2 linked regions of the Saccharomyces cerevisiae S288C genome follow. Changing the gene in region 1 together with any one later gene gives a genetic interaction. Each region holds a gene or a part of one and is shown on either strand. Other genes may lie near its edges. The genes, in order: APM1 and YAL037W.

Region 1 (4,192 bases):
CTTTGAGAGAAACCGATTTATTTTCTTACCAAAAAAAATTGAACGAAATTGATAACAAAAGAATCAATGGTAAGTTTCCAACAAAATCTCAGGACTCAAAGGGGCAATCAATACTTTTATACCTGTTGCGTAGATGTTATGCCATAATTTATAAACTGTTGGAAAGTTCAGAGCCCGTATCTGAAGCGTTGCAGCCAATTCACAATCAACTATCTACAGTTCGTCGTTGCCTATTAGAATTGAAAAGAATGGGAGGTGTGAATAATGAAAGAGAGTTATACCCTTATCAAATGAAATTGGCTTCATTGGACAACCTGAGAACTGAAGGTATATTCTATGACTCTGATGGCAATATACCTGAAGGCCAAGGTATATTGAATGCTTTATTAGCAGAATGTTTTGATATCTTGCATGAATTAAAAGTGGAAGCCGAGGAAAAAGCACAGAACTCTACTTCAAGTGATGGTTCTGACGACGATGACAACGGAGAATCAGGCATAGACTCGAACTCAAACGACAGCGAGCCTGAATCTGAATATCAACAGGAATAGAGGAGAGTGTTTCTTTATCTTCCATTTCTCCCTATTTTCTTGGTAGAGGAAAACATTATAAACAATAAAATGAAATACAGAAAGAAAAAAAGTTATTCTCTTATGTCTATGTATATAACAAACCCTGAATGAGCATCTATATAAAAACAAAAATATATAAACAACTTTATGTCATTATCATAATTGTCAATGGGAGGGGGGAGAAAAAGAGGAATAAGGACATACGTACCCTGTGTCTTTGTCCATGCACCGTAGAAATTGCTTTTTTTATATATTTTTCAGACATTACGTCAGCCTTATTGTATAATCATCACCACTTTGCGTGATATATCTTACCCATGGGTAACTCTTATACTGCAATTTGGGTTCGTTAATTTTAAGATAACGTACTTGAATACCTGAAGTAGTAAAGTAGGGTATTTGAAATTTGATTTGGACAGGTCCCTTCAAGATTTCCGCGTTACTTTTTGGCATTGTTCTATTGCCATCCTCGTTATTTGATATTGAAGGCAGTCCCAATTCGGCAGACATTGAGTACTCTTTACCACCGGGAAAACTTCTTATTTTCCATAAGATTGCACTTTTTTCAGGGACATACTTTAGAGACCCGTGTGAATATTTAAAAGTCGGTGTATCCGCGTCGTCCGGGACCGGTATCAATATCTCTACATTAGTTGCAGTAGATTTTCTTTTAATTTGGGCCTTGGCCTTACAGTGAATTTCAATTCTAGAATTCGAATGAACTTGAACGTTTACATCACACCAAATTAACGGTTTTATCGTAGTAGATAGTCTGTAGTTCATTAAATCGAACTTTCCATCAGGAGGTATAAACGTTATAATTTTTTCATTCTCGAATTTGCTTAATCGGACACATTGATGAAATTTCAAATCTTCCAATTCAATATTAACTTTCTTCTTGTTTGTGGCCGATGATGATGTTATTGATGGTTTTTTATCAGTTTCTGTGTTATTATCGGATGTTGTCGCGCTCGCTGATGGGATATTTGTATCATCATCCAAATATTTGGAGAAAATGCCTTTATCATTAATACCTAATTTCAGATCAGGCATACCAGACAATTTTGAGTTAACCTTAACATCGCCGATAATTTCTGATCTCAAAACTTGACCTTTTTGAGTCATGAGCATATTAATAGATTCGACGATATCCAGAAAGGCTTCATTTTTCTTGTGAGTGATGCCTTCTGGCCTCCAACTGACTGAATTTGTTAGTGCGACGGGTGGTCTAGTAGCATTCCTCTTCTTCTTGGCGGATTTAACTAGTTTGAAGGATTTTTGTGTTATGTACTGTTTCAGCATCTTAGTTTCTGTGATCTGTGGTATACCATAATCCATCACTTCGTCCAGTAATTCATATATTATAACAAAATTATCTCTAATAGATTCTTCTTCAACGGTTTTTAAGTAGTCACTTAATACCTCCACTAATTTGTGCAAAAAAGTAAAAATGGCAGCCGCATTGGCACTAAGAGAAGTCACAATTGCCACCACGTATAGATCGTTATGCTGTATAAATAGATATTCCAGACCATTGTGGTTCAAACATGGAGGAATCAGATTTGATTGTTCCTCTAAATCCGAGAGTAATATAGGGAATTTGTCAATTGCAGAAAGCGGAATATCATCTCTATACCTTCTTGATAGGAGTGGTTTCCCATTATGATCGCAAAAATACACTGCAGAAGCCATTCTGTGTCCCTCCAAGTTCGTAATTTACAATTTTCAAAAATACTCCTATATTTAATTGTACGACTTAGTTTCTCTATATGCTTTTTTTTGTTCAGCCCACTTTCCGTTTAACTCTTAATTTTTCATCGTCTAGCAATATTTCAATACGTTCAATTAACATCGCTATCAACGACTTTCAAAGACTATTATCATAATTAGAGATACCCTTTCTCGCTTAGTTGAAGTTACGTCTAATGATGGCTATAGTATATCGAGCGTATTTTATACCATTGAAATATCTTCATCTTTATTACATAACTATTATAGATCCATAGCAGTCCTATTGATAGTATGCAGTAATTTTAGCGCATAGAAAACGTTTATATTGGGTCGAATGCTCAATTATTTTCAGATGGAGGAATACCTTGAAGAAAATATATATATATAAAGACGCACTATTCAAATAATCATCAGTGCCAACATTAACTGTTTCCCTAAGATGCGTTCAGTTGTGATTCTTTTTTTTTTATGTCGCAACTGTCTGTCGTAGTTCTGTCAGCTAATGTTACGAGAATGTCCAACTGCAGTGTTAGGTTTCTGAAAGATGAGAAAGTTTCTGCCGGATAAGTTATCAACGAAATTATGGTGAATACTTGAGGTATGTGACTAGGATGGTAGCGCCGCTAGAACGCCAAAATCAGAACGAAGATTTTGGTTTCTGCCGAACAATTTTTACTATATTAATAAAAATGAAGGAACATTCTTAAATTATTGACACCTATTTTTGCATAATTCATTATTTCTACGTATAACTTTTTGTATATTTTGTAAAAATCGATGTGTCTATTCATTCATATTCTAGAGCGGCGGTCCAGAAGTTAGCTTCCAATTCACAAACTTCAGCATATATTGTGACCAGTGTATCAAGTTTTTCTGGAGGGTATGTTTCCAAGATGTGATTCAACAGCTTTTCGCCTTCAAGCATAGCTTCGTGGCACCATGACGATGAGTAAGTTTCACACCATTCACGGTAAACGGAGCCTTCTGCTGCAGTTACTTCATCCTTGATCTTGGTCAAAGCGTGAACATAGCCCATTAAGCAAGGATTAAGAGCTATAACTAACTCCTGCCAGTTACCTCTTCTGGAAACATCATTAAAGTAACGACAGTAAGCCCTTAATGCAGGACCTCTTTGAATCTTTTGTAAGTAGTCGGGATCCTTAATTCCAAATTCCTCCCTTAATCTCCTTTCATGTTGGCAAAGCCCATTACGAACGCATTCGACAATAACTAGCTCTTTCTCCAGGTCTTCAAGACACGGGGATTTACTACCCGCGATGCAGGAAATCCTGGCATAATTGACTAAGTACAGGTAATCTTGTTCGATAAAAAATTGGAACTTCTTAGGCTCTAAGGAACCGTCTGCTACTTTTCTAACAAAATCATGGTTCACATAGGAGTCCCAGTGGGGCTTAACTTTAGGGTGATTTATCAGATATTTATAGAAACTTCCTCCAGGGATTTTGTTAAGAGAACTTTTGACTGGCTTTTTGTGTACGGCATCTGATGCAGTGAAACATTCGTCACTGAGCATTTTTTCTAATGGAATTTCGATGGCGTAGACATGATTAATTGGCCCGTTGTCCTTAACAGTCTCTTTCGTGACATCGCAGCCAATGGCCACCGCATTTTGGACGTACTCAATACCGCCATAAACGGATTGGGGAAGGGAATAACCGCGAGCCAAATTTGATGCAATGGCGGAAGCTAGGGTGCACCCGGTACCATGAGTGTGGGTTGTATTAACAAAATTACCCTTGAAGGTTATAAACCTTTGTTCGGCCCCTAAGTAAAGGACATCAGTGATGTACTTTCCTTCTTCATCATTCCATGGAATGTGACCACCTTTAACCAAAATATTGGAACACTTGGTGATTTTGGCAAGGTCT
Region 2 (3,177 bases), on another chromosome or scaffold:
GTGACGACAAGATCATGTACGTTGACTACAAGAACATCACCAAGGTCATCTCCGCTGGTAGAATCATCTACGTTGATGATGGTGTTTTGTCTTTCCAAGTTTTGGAAGTCGTTGACGACAAGACTTTGAAGGTCAAGGCTTTGAACGCCGGTAAGATCTGTTCCCACAAGGGTGTCAACTTACCAGGTACCGATGTCGATTTGCCAGCTTTGTCTGAAAAGGACAAGGAAGATTTGAGATTCGGTGTCAAGAACGGTGTCCACATGGTCTTCGCTTCTTTCATCAGAACCGCCAACGATGTTTTGACCATCAGAGAAGTCTTGGGTGAACAAGGTAAGGACGTCAAGATCATTGTCAAGATTGAAAACCAACAAGGTGTTAACAACTTCGACGAAATCTTGAAGGTCACTGACGGTGTTATGGTTGCCAGAGGTGACTTGGGTATTGAAATCCCAGCCCCAGAAGTCTTGGCTGTCCAAAAGAAATTGATTGCTAAGTCTAACTTGGCTGGTAAGCCAGTTATCTGTGCTACCCAAATGTTGGAATCCATGACTTACAACCCAAGACCAACCAGAGCTGAAGTTTCCGATGTCGGTAACGCTATCTTGGATGGTGCTGACTGTGTTATGTTGTCTGGTGAAACCGCCAAGGGTAACTACCCAATCAACGCCGTTACCACTATGGCTGAAACCGCTGTCATTGCTGAACAAGCTATCGCTTACTTGCCAAACTACGATGACATGAGAAACTGTACTCCAAAGCCAACCTCCACCACCGAAACCGTCGCTGCCTCCGCTGTCGCTGCTGTTTTCGAACAAAAGGCCAAGGCTATCATTGTCTTGTCCACTTCCGGTACCACCCCAAGATTGGTTTCCAAGTACAGACCAAACTGTCCAATCATCTTGGTTACCAGATGCCCAAGAGCTGCTAGATTCTCTCACTTGTACAGAGGTGTCTTCCCATTCGTTTTCGAAAAGGAACCTGTCTCTGACTGGACTGATGATGTTGAAGCCCGTATCAACTTCGGTATTGAAAAGGCTAAGGAATTCGGTATCTTGAAGAAGGGTGACACTTACGTTTCCATCCAAGGTTTCAAGGCCGGTGCTGGTCACTCCAACACTTTGCAAGTCTCTACCGTTTAAAAAAAGAATCATGATTGAATGAAGATATTATTTTTTTGAATTATATTTTTTAAATTTTATATAAAGACATGGTTTTTCTTTTCAACTCAAATAAAGATTTATAAGTTACTTAAATAACATACATTTTATAAGGTATTCTATAAAAAGAGTATTATGTTATTGTTAACCTTTTTGTCTCCAATTGTCGTCATAACGATGAGGTGTTGCATTTTTGGAAACGAGATTGACATAGAGTCAAAATTTGCTAAATTTGATCCCTCCCATCGCAAGATAATCTTCCCTCAAGGTTATCATGATTATCAGGATGGCGAAAGGATACGCTAAAAATTCAATAAAAAATTCAATATAATTTTCGTTTCCCAAGAACTAACTTGGAAGGTTATACATGGGTACATAAATGCAGATGCCAGTGAACTATGTTCAGCTTCTGGCCTTCGTTTGGTGGTTTAATCTATTTTTTATAAAAAATGACGCGGGCAGATTCAATTAGTGTCCTAAATTTATTCGCGTTTCAAGATTTCAAAGGATTGATCCTCTTATCAGAAACGATAAGTGCTACTCCGTCCTATTCTTCTAGCCATCTAGTACGTATTCTTTTCATAACATAATCCCTTATTTACAGAATGTGTTTCGAAGAAAAATTAATTAGATGGGAAGAAAACTGAAGTGGCTTATATAATCAGTGACATAGTGCCAATAATTACGCAAAAAGCAAAGGAAATAACACTGCTATGGATATGGAAATCGAAGATTCAAGCCCCATAGATGACCTGAAGTTACAAAAACTGGATACCAATGTTTATTTTGGACCCTGTGAGATATTGACACAACCTATTCTTTTGCAATATGAAAATATTAAGTTCATCATTGGTGTCAATCTAAGTACTGAAAAGATAGCGTCGTTTTATACCCAGTATTTCAGGAACTCTAATTCGGTAGTCGTGAATCTTTGCTCACCAACTACAGCAGCAGTAGCAACAAAGAAGGCCGCAATTGATTTGTATATACGAAACAATACAATACTACTACAGAAATTCGTTGGACAGTACTTGCAGATGGGCAAAAAGATAAAAACATCTTTAACACAGGCACAAACCGATACAATCCAATCACTGCCCCAGTTTTGTAATTCGAATGTCCTCAGTGGTGAGCCCTTGGTACAGTACCAGGCATTCAACGATCTGTTGGCACTCTTTAAGTCATTTAGTCATTTTGGAAATATCTTGGTTATATCATCACATTCCTATGATTGCGCACTTCTCAAATTTCTTATTTCCAGGGTGATGACCTACTATCCACTAGTGACCATCCAGGATTCTTTGCAATATATGAAAGCAACCCTGAACATATCCATCAGTACATCCGATGAGTTCGATATTCTGAATGATAAAGAACTGTGGGAGTTTGGCCAAACCCAGGAAATTCTAAAACGTAGGCAGACGAGCTCAGTCAAGAGGAGATGTGTCAATTTACCAGAAAACTCTACGATCGATAACAGAATGCTTATGGGTACCACAAAGCGAGGTCGCTTTTGAAGAGCCCTCGGTAGCATAACATTTTTAATTATTACGACTGTTTTTTTTATTCATTATGTAGAGATAATTAAATGTTATAGATGCTCTATACTCAAACGGTGGAAGAAAAACAGCGAAAAAAAATAACCGATACCCCCTTTTCGAATACAAATGCTTGTATATTCAATTATGAATTATTTTTTTTTTTTTTCATTTCTTATATTATTTTTTGTTCGAGAATCACTTTTTCAAGATGGTAACAACATCTTCGTCTTCCAAAATGTGACTCAACCCCACGTATTGAGGTTGATGTTTGACACTGCTACCGTAAACCAGAGCATTTCTAAAGTCGTCCACTAAAGATTTATGAATTTGGTTACAAAAATCCTTGACACTGCAACGGTCTGATCTTAGCACCACAGGGTCGGTAAAATCTGGTATTTGGCCCTTTGGTTTAGTGTAAATACGGACTAGATTTAGTCTATCCCACATGACTTGCAACAGCTCGTCCAAGTTCCAAT

What was found.
Region 2: mutations in APM1 (region 1) and YAL037W together harm fitness more than expected from each alone (negative genetic interaction), as found in Saccharomyces cerevisiae (one large-scale study listed by BioGRID).

The regions. Positions count from the first base shown.
Region 1 is NC_001148.4:50,408-54,599, forward strand, and holds APM1 (Apm1p), read right to left. Parts: upstream 2,265-4,192; coding exon 837-2,264; downstream 1-836. Other genes in the region: CUB1 (Cub1p), read left to right, coding at 1-551; THI21 (bifunctional hydroxymethylpyrimidine kinase/phosphomethylpyrimidine kinase), read right to left, coding at 3,091-4,192. UniProt on the Saccharomyces cerevisiae protein: Component of the adaptor complexes which link clathrin to receptors in coated vesicles. Clathrin-associated protein complexes are believed to interact with the cytoplasmic tails of membrane proteins, leading to their selection and concentration.
Region 2 is NC_001133.9:72,147-75,323, forward strand, and holds YAL037W (uncharacterized protein), read left to right. Parts: upstream 1-1,873; coding exon 1,874-2,677; downstream 2,678-3,177. Other genes in the region: pyruvate kinase CDC19, read left to right, coding at 1-1,142; YAL037C-A (uncharacterized protein), read right to left, coding at 1,280-1,372; GTP-binding protein RBG1, read right to left, coding at 2,897-3,177.